Linked DNA regions of Saccharomyces cerevisiae S288C. The protein of the gene in region 3 interacts with the protein of the main gene of each other region in a pairwise test. Each region holds a gene or a part of one and is shown on either strand. Other genes may lie near its edges. The genes, in order: GDI1, YIP3 and YPT52.

The links.
Region 1: the proteins of YPT52 (region 3) and GDI1 interact in binary tests that used the Saccharomyces cerevisiae proteins (3 or more experiments, as listed by UniProt).
Region 2: the proteins of YPT52 (region 3) and YIP3 interact in a two-hybrid assay, tested with the Saccharomyces cerevisiae proteins (one study listed by BioGRID).

The regions. Positions count from the first base shown.
Region 1 is NC_001137.3:437,606-441,552, reverse strand, and holds GDI1 (Gdi1p), read right to left. Parts: upstream 1,938-3,947; coding exon 582-1,937; downstream 1-581. Other genes in the region: YER137C (uncharacterized protein), read left to right, coding at 1-180; YER135C (uncharacterized protein), read left to right, coding at 3,209-3,601; YER134C (Mg-dependent acid phosphatase), read left to right, coding at 3,750-3,947. UniProt on the Saccharomyces cerevisiae protein: Regulates the GDP/GTP exchange reaction of SEC4 by inhibiting the dissociation of GDP from it, and the subsequent binding of GTP to SEC4. Plays an essential role in the yeast secretory pathway.
Region 2 is NC_001146.8:543,375-546,530, forward strand, and holds YIP3 (Yip3p), read left to right. Parts: upstream 1-1,893; coding exon 1,894-1,917; intron 1,918-1,996; coding exon 1,997-2,503; downstream 2,504-3,156. Other genes in the region: LAP2 (bifunctional aminopeptidase/epoxide hydrolase), read left to right, coding at 1-1,604.
Region 3 is NC_001143.9:464,775-467,973, reverse strand, and holds YPT52 (Rab family GTPase YPT52), read left to right. Parts: upstream 1-1,902; coding exon 1,903-2,607; downstream 2,608-3,199. Other genes in the region: YKR015C (uncharacterized protein), read left to right, coding at 1-1,013; PRY2 (sterol-binding protein), read right to left, coding at 3,026-3,199. UniProt on the Saccharomyces cerevisiae protein: Required for transport in the endocytic pathway and for correct sorting of the vacuolar hydrolases suggesting a possible intersection of the endocytic with the vacuolar sorting pathway.

The DNA.
Region 1 (3,947 bases), on a different chromosome or scaffold from region 3:
GCCCTGATACCGATTAAAGCCAAGGAAGAGGCAGATAAAACTACGAGCACTATTCAGGGAGTAACCAGCAAAAAGAGTAGTAAAAAGAAAAAAAATAAGATAAAATGTTCATTTTGTCACGAGGCTGGCCACACAAGGGCACACTGCGGTGCGAGACTGACAGTTATACCCAAGAAATAATGAAGGGATCATCGAAGCATTAGACCTACATCTACCTTACTAAGATTGTAAGTACATAGCATGTGTACTGATGTGTTCAGTAGCATTCTTCCATATATTATACTACATAAGGTATGTAAATTTATGTATTTATATATGGAAAAAAGAAATTGAAAGAAAAGAAAAGGAAAGATACTTAGTTATGAATCAATCAGAATACGCATATAACAAAAAAAAAAAGTGGAATGAGAAAGGAATAAAGGATAATCTTTTCCCCTATATTTTTGTATTGGTTTTTTTTTGGCAAATATTTTCTTGTTTTCTGTAATTCATGTCATTTATTGGTAACTCATTTGCCAAGAACATTATCGGAAAAAATAAGTTTACCCTCCAATTGCTGCTTTAGTCGTAAAGGTATGAATTTACTGCTTTTCTTGTTCTTGTCTTTGTTTTAGAACTAATGGGTGGCCTGTTACTCTGAAGTAAATATCTTTAACATCGTCAGTCATGGATTCGAAATGAGAGGATGCGTCGTATGATCTGGATAAGTAAATGTTATCCTTAGAGCCGTCTTCTCTTGGTTCAAATAATTCGGCAATTCCCATGAATTTTTCTTCGATTGGTCCCAGAAGTTTGAAAGCAGGCTCTAATTCTATATGTGGTTTATCAGTTTCAATGATTGTAGAAATAATTGCTAAATAGTGACCCTTGGAGCAAACGTTATGCGCATCTGAAACAATCGCAACGTATATATCGCTTTTCCTTCCCAGTTGGCTTTGTGGGATAATAATTTGTAAAGAATCCGCGTTACTGGTGTTCGGAACTGGATGGTTAAGAATACAGATGGCTCTAATAACTCTTTGACCAGTAGATTTACATTTTTCGGGAAAATAAGTTGGATCAGCAATAACCAATGGGGCCTTGAAAGTTCCCAGCTTAGTCTTGACCCCTTCAAATTTTCCTGTGTCTTTTTTATACAATACTTCATCAATTGGAGTGTCTAGCATGTAAGTACCACCGTAAATAGCCGACAAACGAGCAAATCCTTGTGGAAGTTCGCCTAACCCATACATAGGATACAAATAAGGTGATTTACCGTAACGGGCAACACTTTGGCAATATAACAAAATCCTCTCAAACGATGGCCTAGCAGGTTGTTGTAAGTAGTCATCATTGGTCCATAAAGCCATTGCATGACCGATGAATTCTTTGGTAGAATTGCCTAACCCAAATTTATAATACACTTCATCCATGGTATTCTTGTCTAAGTCTAATCCTTGATGAGTGGACAAGTCATCTTCTTTGTAAGAGCTAATCCATTCTAAAAATTTCTTCATTCTACGTTTTTCAAAAATACCCATCAATGGCGATGAAATGGCTTCTATTTCATTAGCTGGCACTTTGTAAATTTTGCCTTGCTTAAAAACGTAGGAGCCAGAAACTTGCTTGAAATCGACATATCTGGTCACATCGGTATGTATTAAAATATTTGTCAGCTCACCATTGGCCATCAGGAATTTAGGAATTAAGTCGACATTCCAATCTCTATCTTTACCAAACTTGGACTCCCGTTCCTCTTTACTGATCGGATTTTGTTTAAATTTTTCATACAATTGAGATAAGGTCACAGAAGCAGCTTCGCCACCATAATGGTCTTGCTTGTCAATATGTAATACCTTTTTTCCATCTACAGAGAGTAAACCAGATAAGATACATTCGGTAATACCGGTACCTAAGACAATCACGTCGTAGTCAGTGTCTATTGTTTCTTGATCCATTGTGTTATGCTATATAAGTGGTTATTCACTAACAGTTATGATGGAAGGGGAGTAAAGAAAAGGAAAAGACTAATTGCAGTCCTGCTTTGAAAAATATCCTTCCTTGAAAAAAGACTATGTTAGAAATTTGATGGGACGACGTCTCAAGCAAGAATGAAGTAGAACCTTTTCTACTAACAAAATCGGGATAAATCAGCCGACGTGTTGAAACTACATCTACAATCCCTCGCTGAAGCTTCCCACGGCCAAGATTTTGGAGCCCACAGGAGAGGGGAAAACACCGCCAATGTGAGATAAACGATTCAAACATAAGGGTAACCTAAAGATAACGGTTTTGAGCGTTTACGGCCTACTTTACTATGCAACAGCAGATGTTGGATAATAGAGAAGTTTGAGTGATAGATTGTAGAAAGTACAAGAATATGGGTGTATTACGGGAGTTAACAGAGGTATGTACTTTATCAAATGTGGTCTGATATTTTTTTCTTGAAAACAGTCTTGGCTATGTAATTTTTTAAGTTTTGCGCCTTTAGCTCATGTTTAGTTTCTGGTGGGGGAAGCGGTAATTATTTTAAAGTAGCCAACATAAGCAAAATATATGGAGAAAAAGAAGAATACCGTCGGAACCGCTAAAAGTATGTTTTTGTTACAGGATTGTAAAGCTTGTATCGCTTGGCAAGAGTTTGATTGGCCATTCTTGTAACTATTAGTTATTAAGCGGATTTGTCTCTTTTCAACTAGTTTCGAAGATGTCTCAAGAGATTGGAAGTAAACATTGCTTAGTATGAAAGGAATGCCCTTTGTAAATTAACGTAAATTATAACGTTTTCGAAAAAAAAAATTGATTTCGCCCAGGATCGAACTGGGGACGTTCTGCGTGTTAAGCAGATGCCATAACCGACTAGACCACGAAACCTAATTTGTTGAAAAAGTTTCATTAAAAAATAGAATATATCTACAATTCTTAAGATTTACACATGAAATTGTGGAGATGAAGCTCTAAAATATCATTGCTCAGTTATATCGTGTAATTAGTGTATTATCACGTACGGTGTAAAGAGGATGACATGAAAATCGAGAAATAGTCATCAAACCTCTTATCCCGAAAATGACAATACGTCAGGAACATATACACCACTTAATGAAGGGTAATTGATTATATCCCAATAAAGTGAATCTTAGTTTATTCGAAGTTAGTTGTCGATTGTCGTTTGAATATCCCCTTTGAGTTTAACGACCACAAATGCAAGGTTGATTAAAATCTTTCAAGCATGACATGGACTTTAAGAAACTTACATAATTCACAGAAAAAGGTCTTGGTCGATATTACAATTTGGTTAGCACTTTCTCCATACGGTGACATGGCGTTATTTACAAGTTTTGAGAATATAATCGGCGAATATTATAGGTACTCTATACTACCGTTACATCAAAACTTACACAAGTTACTATTCACTCTTTTTCTAATATGCCTCGCTAGTTGGAAAGAGGGAAACAGATCTTGCAGATATAAATGGCAGAAATTTGTGTGCAACAAGCTAAATTCTCCTGAAACAAATTTCGTACCCATTCGCACCTCAGTGAATAAGAACTCTAAAATGATTGTTGAAAAGCAGATAAGCATTCATATTTCTTTAAAGTGTATTGTTTACAAAGAATACTAAGGGATTGAGTAGAATATTTTTCACGCACTAGAAGAAGGACCTGCCGAAAAGGAGACCTTCTCGAGAAACAAGCATTTTTGTCCTTAAACTTACAAAGAGAACAATTTTGTTACAAATCCTGCTCCAAAATAGTCTCAACGCGTTTATTATGACTGGATACCCTGACGTGGCCGCCTTCGATTTGGACTACACCATTTGGCCCTGCTATTGTGATACCCATTTGCACGGTCCCTTTAAGCCAGTTAAAAGTAGTAATGGCGAAGTTCTCACAATTATATGTAGAGATGGTTACGAGCTCACAATCTACAAAGATATCCCACGTATACTAGGTGATCTTAAAGATAAT
Region 2 (3,156 bases), on a different chromosome or scaffold from region 3:
CCAGGTTAGTCATCAATAACGCTTCTTGCAACGATAACTTTACCTTGAATATTCAATTTCGTACGACTGACAAGTGCACCGCTTTGCAATGGTTGAACAGCAAGCAAACCAAGGGCGGTAAACCGTACGTGTTTTCACAGTTGGAAGCTATTCATGCGAGGTCTTTGTTCCCCTGCTTTGATACTCCCTCTGTGAAGTCTACTTTCACTGCATCTATCGAGTCCCCACTACCAGTGGTTTTTTCAGGCATCAGGATTGAAGATACAAGCAAGGATACTAATATTTACAGATTTGAACAGAAAGTCCCTATCCCAGCCTACCTGATCGGTATTGCTTCCGGTGATTTGTCAAGCGCTCCAATTGGACCTCGTTCCACAGTTTACACTGAACCATTTCGTTTGAAAGATTGTCAATGGGAATTTGAAAACGATGTAGAGAAATTCATTCAAACTGCAGAGAAAATTATCTTTGAATACGAGTGGGGCACTTATGATATCTTAGTTAACGTCGATTCGTACCCTTACGGCGGTATGGAGTCTCCGAATATGACTTTTGCTACGCCCACCTTGATTGCACATGACAGATCCAACATTGATGTCATCGCCCATGAACTTGCTCACTCATGGTCTGGTAACTTAGTGACCAATTGTTCGTGGAATCATTTTTGGTTGAATGAAGGTTGGACCGTTTACTTAGAAAGAAGAATTATTGGTGCCATTCATGGCGAACCAACTAGACATTTCAGTGCTCTGATTGGTTGGAGCGATTTGCAGAATTCTATTGATTCTATGAAAGATCCTGAAAGATTTTCCACTTTGGTACAAAACTTGAACGATAACACTGACCCTGACGATGCCTTTTCCACTGTTCCGTACGAAAAGGGGTTCAACTTACTATTTCACTTGGAAACTATTTTGGGTGGTAAGGCTGAATTTGATCCATTTATTAGACACTATTTCAAGAAGTTTGCCAAAAAATCATTGGATACTTTCCAGTTTTTGGATACTTTGTATGAGTTCTATCCCGAAAAGAAAGAAATTTTGGATTCCGTTGACTGGGAAACTTGGCTGTATAAACCAGGTATGCCACCAAGGCCTCATTTTATTACGGCTTTGGCTGATAATGTTTATCAATTGGCTGACAAGTGGGTCGAAATGGCTCAACATTTGAAAACCACAGAGGATTTCCGGTCTGAATTTAACGCTATTGACATTAAGGATTTTAATTCAAATCAATTGGTTTTGTTCTTGGAAACTTTGACACAAAATGGCCATTCCAACAAGAAACCAAAAGATTTTGACTGGGCCAAGTTTCCCGTGGCATCTAGGGCACTGTTAGATATCTATCAAGATAACATTGTTAAATCACAGAACGCGGAAGTTGTTTTCAAGATGTTCAAATTTCAGATCTTTGCCAAGCTGCAAGAAGAATATAAGCATTTGGCCGATTGGTTGGGAACTGTAGGTAGAATGAAGTTTGTCCGTCCCGGTTACAGACTATTAAACTCTGTAGACCGTCGATTGGCACTTGCAACTTTCGACAAATTCAAGGACACGTATCATCCAATCTGTAAAGCTCTTGTGAAACAAGATTTAGGTCTTTGAAAAGGGACGTGTCGTAACATGAATACGTAAACAATTAAATATAACCTACTAATGAGCCTTCATTGCTACTTCTCTGGTTCTAATTAGTGGCGGAGTTCTGTGTCGTGCGATACGAATTTTGCACTTTTGTCACATGCAATCGAGGCAAAAAGAAAAAATAAATAATAACAACGAATATAAATACAAATCGAAAGAATTCAGATTGAATTCAATATTGCAGGGCTTTGAACACTGAGTTTGGAACTATCAGCCGTCAAATACGCATAAAATAACATCAAATACTCCAATAATGAATCAGTTAGGAGCTTTAGCCGTAAGTTCTAAATTGTAAACACATTTGCATCATTGAAAAACTATACTAACGCGTTAACCTTTTTTCTATATTTCTATAGCAAGTTTCACGTTTCACTCAAAACTTCTCCATGGAAAATATTAAGAGCGAGTTCCAATCCTTGCAATCTAAATTAGCAACCCTTCGCACCCCGCAAGAATTTTTCAATTTCAAGAAAATTTCCAAACCTCAAAACTTTGGGGAAGTTCAATCCAGAGTGGCGTATAACCTGAAGTACTTTTCCAGTAACTATGGTTTGATTATTGGTTGTTTGAGCATTTACACATTATTAACAAACTTGTTGCTACTCTTTGTTATTGTTCTAGTCGTAGCTGGTATTGTTGGTATAAACAAACTAAAGGGTGAGGAGCTCGTAACTCCATTTGGTTCTTTCAAGACCAACCAACTATACACCGGACTGGTTTGTGTTGCTGTGCCAATAGGTTTCTTAGCTTCGCCAATCTCAACTTTGCTATGGTTGATCGGTGCTTCTGCCGTCAGCGTTTTCGGACATGCATCATTGATGGAAAAACCCATCGAAACTGTATTTGATGAAGAAACTGTTTGAACACTCCTACAAGTGTTGGGAAAAGGAGTCATTCTTTTCTATTGTGTATTTTACTCTTCTTCAATATTTAGTTAATTCTTGTCTTTTATTCTCTTTCTCCGTCAACATTAGTATTTAATTGTATACAGACACCATTCATAATTGCAGTTAGCTTCTCTGTTCTTTCTCATTCCTAGGATTTACAATGCAGTCTTACCTTATTTGTTTATGTTTTTTTCGTTTATCAAGCGTGCAATCAATTACTGAAGATTCACGTGCCAAAACGTAAAAATAATAATAACATAACCCGAGAGAGGCAAGATTAGAATCAATTCATCTTTTCAAACAAATGGTTATATCGACTAAGCGAAGTGATTAGATGGTGTACGTCGCAGATATTCAACAGTGACGAATTATATGCGATTGTAAGATTGATTGGCAAATCGTATTCCATTACTACTATTAACAACTGATGGCATCTAGAAGGTAAAAAGGGTCAACGTAGATGAGGTAGAGTTTGAGCTTAGGGCCCTGCCGAGTTTTCATTAGAAGACCTCTACTACACTTCAAAATGAAATACCCCTGCATCACCAGATTCATCAACCTAAACGTACAAGACGTATGAAACACGTATGAAACAGTTGTTGCGAAAAAAACAAGATTAAGTATTTTCA
Region 3 (3,199 bases):
AAGATAAAGACCTTCCTAATCTTATTTGGACTTTAGAACCAGAAAAATTCTATGTTGACATGAGACCTTACAAGGAACACGAGGAAAGGAAAAAACGGAGAGAAGAAGAAGCCAAGGTGAGGATGCAAGGTGAGGAACAGGAGAACATTATGATAGAGAGAAAAAAAATGGATAGTATTGAAGTTGAAGCGTCATCAGGATTGAAAAATATCATAAAAACACCTCTCGCTAATAGGGTTGTCAATACTTTTAATAACTGCGCTGCTGTGGTAATAGGCTATGTAACAGAAGTGGATAAAGTAAAGGATGACAATGAAGAGAAAAATAACGACAGACCTAAAATTGCGAACGACGGAATAGCTCAAAAGTCTAGAAGCGAAAGTGAAGATAATGCAGGAACACCGATGGAAAACGCGTACTTTCAACCTGAACCCCAAGATAATGACCAAAACAACATATCTTGGAATACCACTATGAAAGATATTGATCCAATTTACATGAGTGAAAGATGTGCTAGAGTTTGGAGAAAGGAGCAACAAATGCTAGGATTGGAGAAGGCTCAGACATTTGAGAAAAAATATTGTAAAGATCAGATGGTTATGGACGAAAATCAGGTCGAAGAACCTGGTAAGCACTCGGAGAGACATACAAAAAATCAGGTAGTTAGACCTAGGACCAAAATAGCATCTTCCGCCAGTAAAAATGATAATAGTAATAATAAAAATAGTAAATCATGCAAAAATTGCCATAAAGAGGAAGCGCACGGTCTAGTGAGAGAATACCTTAAGATTAAACTCAACATATCACCTCATGGAGAAAGGAATCAGCGAACAAAGGACAAGAGAAAATGTATAATGAAATACAATGCGAGCAGTAACAACATCAACAAAATGCCTGGGGAGAGTGAAGTACTTGGGTCAACTATTTTAACAGATATCCACTTTAAGGATGTCGTAACTGTGAAATTTAGGGATTTTAAAGCCAAATTTAGAAAAGTCAAAATAAACGCTTGATTTGCCAAAAATGCTATAGTCGCATCTAGAAATCATTACCAAAACGTGACGATTAACATAATACATTCAAAAATAAGATAGGATGCATTACATTTCATTATACCGTGGATTGGAACTGAAGATGAAAATTGCAGTAAATAGACAATAATCAGGCCTTATGGTTGTATGTCATATGTATACTCAAGATTTGAACTTTATATCACCTTTATTAGCGCATTAGCGCACATTTTAGGCCCCATTTCGAGGAATGTGGATTTTTGGCAAATCAATGTTTCTAGGTGTCTCTTAGCTTTCTATATAAGGAGTAAGGTATGCTTCTTGATGACATCAACCGTTTACTATACTTTTTTTAGATATTTTGTTTTCTGCGATAAGTATGATGGAAAGTAAACTGGTAATAACGTCAATACGTACTCTCTTGTAATTGTAGTGAAGCACAGTAATTAATATTTAAGCGTTCCCATGTTCAAATGTGTGAAAGGTAGGTAAAATCATTATGTTAAATTTTGAAATCCACATGACCTTGAATTAAATAGGCACATCACGATTGTAAAGGAATGAAATCAATCTGACTCCAAATTACTCAATGTTCTTAACACTATGTGTATCATTGAGACCAAACGGCAACTTCATAGTGTCTTGCTTTCGTGGACAGCGACTACTATTCTGGCCGGACAATTCAGGTTTATAAAGCTCTGCCCCTGCGATATGAAGTTACAATGTTAACATACGGGAGTGAAGGGAACAGGCCCGTTTACCAACTGTCAGTATTAATTATTTGTTAAGTCGCTTCGATATCGAGCTCTGGACATATCTAAATTTTTTTTTATAGTGCGAGGGTAGGAAGAAGGTTTAACTTATTTGGAGTAAACGTATATATTATTAACAGATGTTGCAATTTAAACTAGTTTTATTGGGTGACTCATCCGTGGGTAAATCTTCCATTGTTCATCGTTTTGTTAAGGATACATTCGATGAACTACGTGAAAGTACGATTGGTGCTGCTTTTTTATCTCAATCAATCACTATTCACCCAAACGATGGTAATGAAACAAAGGATGTCGTTATAAAATTTGAAATCTGGGATACTGCTGGTCAAGAAAGATACAAGTCATTGGCACCAATGTATTATAGAAACGCTAATGCAGCATTAGTTGTTTATGACATTACGCAGGAAGATTCACTACAAAAGGCAAGGAACTGGGTTGATGAGCTGAAAAATAAGGTAGGCGACGACGACTTGGTTATTTATTTACTGGGAAACAAAGTGGATTTATGTCAAGAAACGCCTAGCACTGAGACAAGCCCAGATTCAAACGAAGGTGGAGATGAAGAACAAAAAGTAAGAGCAATTAGCACTGAAGAAGCGAAACAGTACGCACAAGAACAAGGGTTGCTGTTCCGAGAAGTTAGTGCTAAGACAGGTGAAGGGGTTAAGGAAATTTTTCAAGATATTGGTGAAAAATTATACGATTTAAAGAAAGACGAAATTCTCTCTAAGCAAAATAGACAAATCGGTGGAGGCAATAACGGACAAGTAGACATTAATTTGCAAAGGCCATCCACAAATGATCCAACATCTTGTTGCAGTTGATATCCTATGATTTGTGTTTTAGAGGAAAAACAACAGAAGTTGCTTTAATTAAACTGCTACTTTCCGATAATAAAGCAGTATATACGTAATAATGTAAAAAAAAAAAGAAAAGGGAAGAGTAACTTTATATATGATTGTACATATACAGTATACATGAATATATATATATATATTTATATATATATATATATATACGTAGCCGTCGGCAAGATCTCCCAATTTTTTTCGTTCACCCTATTTACCATGCATGAGACTATGACAATGTTATATGATCTTGCTTGCATTTAATTTGCGTACCCTAGAAAAGAAGAATCCTTAGTGTATAATAAAAATTGAAACTATAAAAGAGAAATGTAAGAGAAGGAACAGTGCCCATTGCTGTTCATGTCCATACCCATGTATTCGCTAAATTCAGTGATTAAGCTAATGGCATAACGTTGTCAGCAAACTCACCAATGACATTACCAGCGGCTTTGTAGGAACAAATGATGTAATCGCCCCATTCGCCACCGCAAGATTTCAAACCGCAACCAACTTCAGAAGTTCCCTTCCATACGACTTGGGTGAAGTGACCTGCGCTTTCACTAAAACC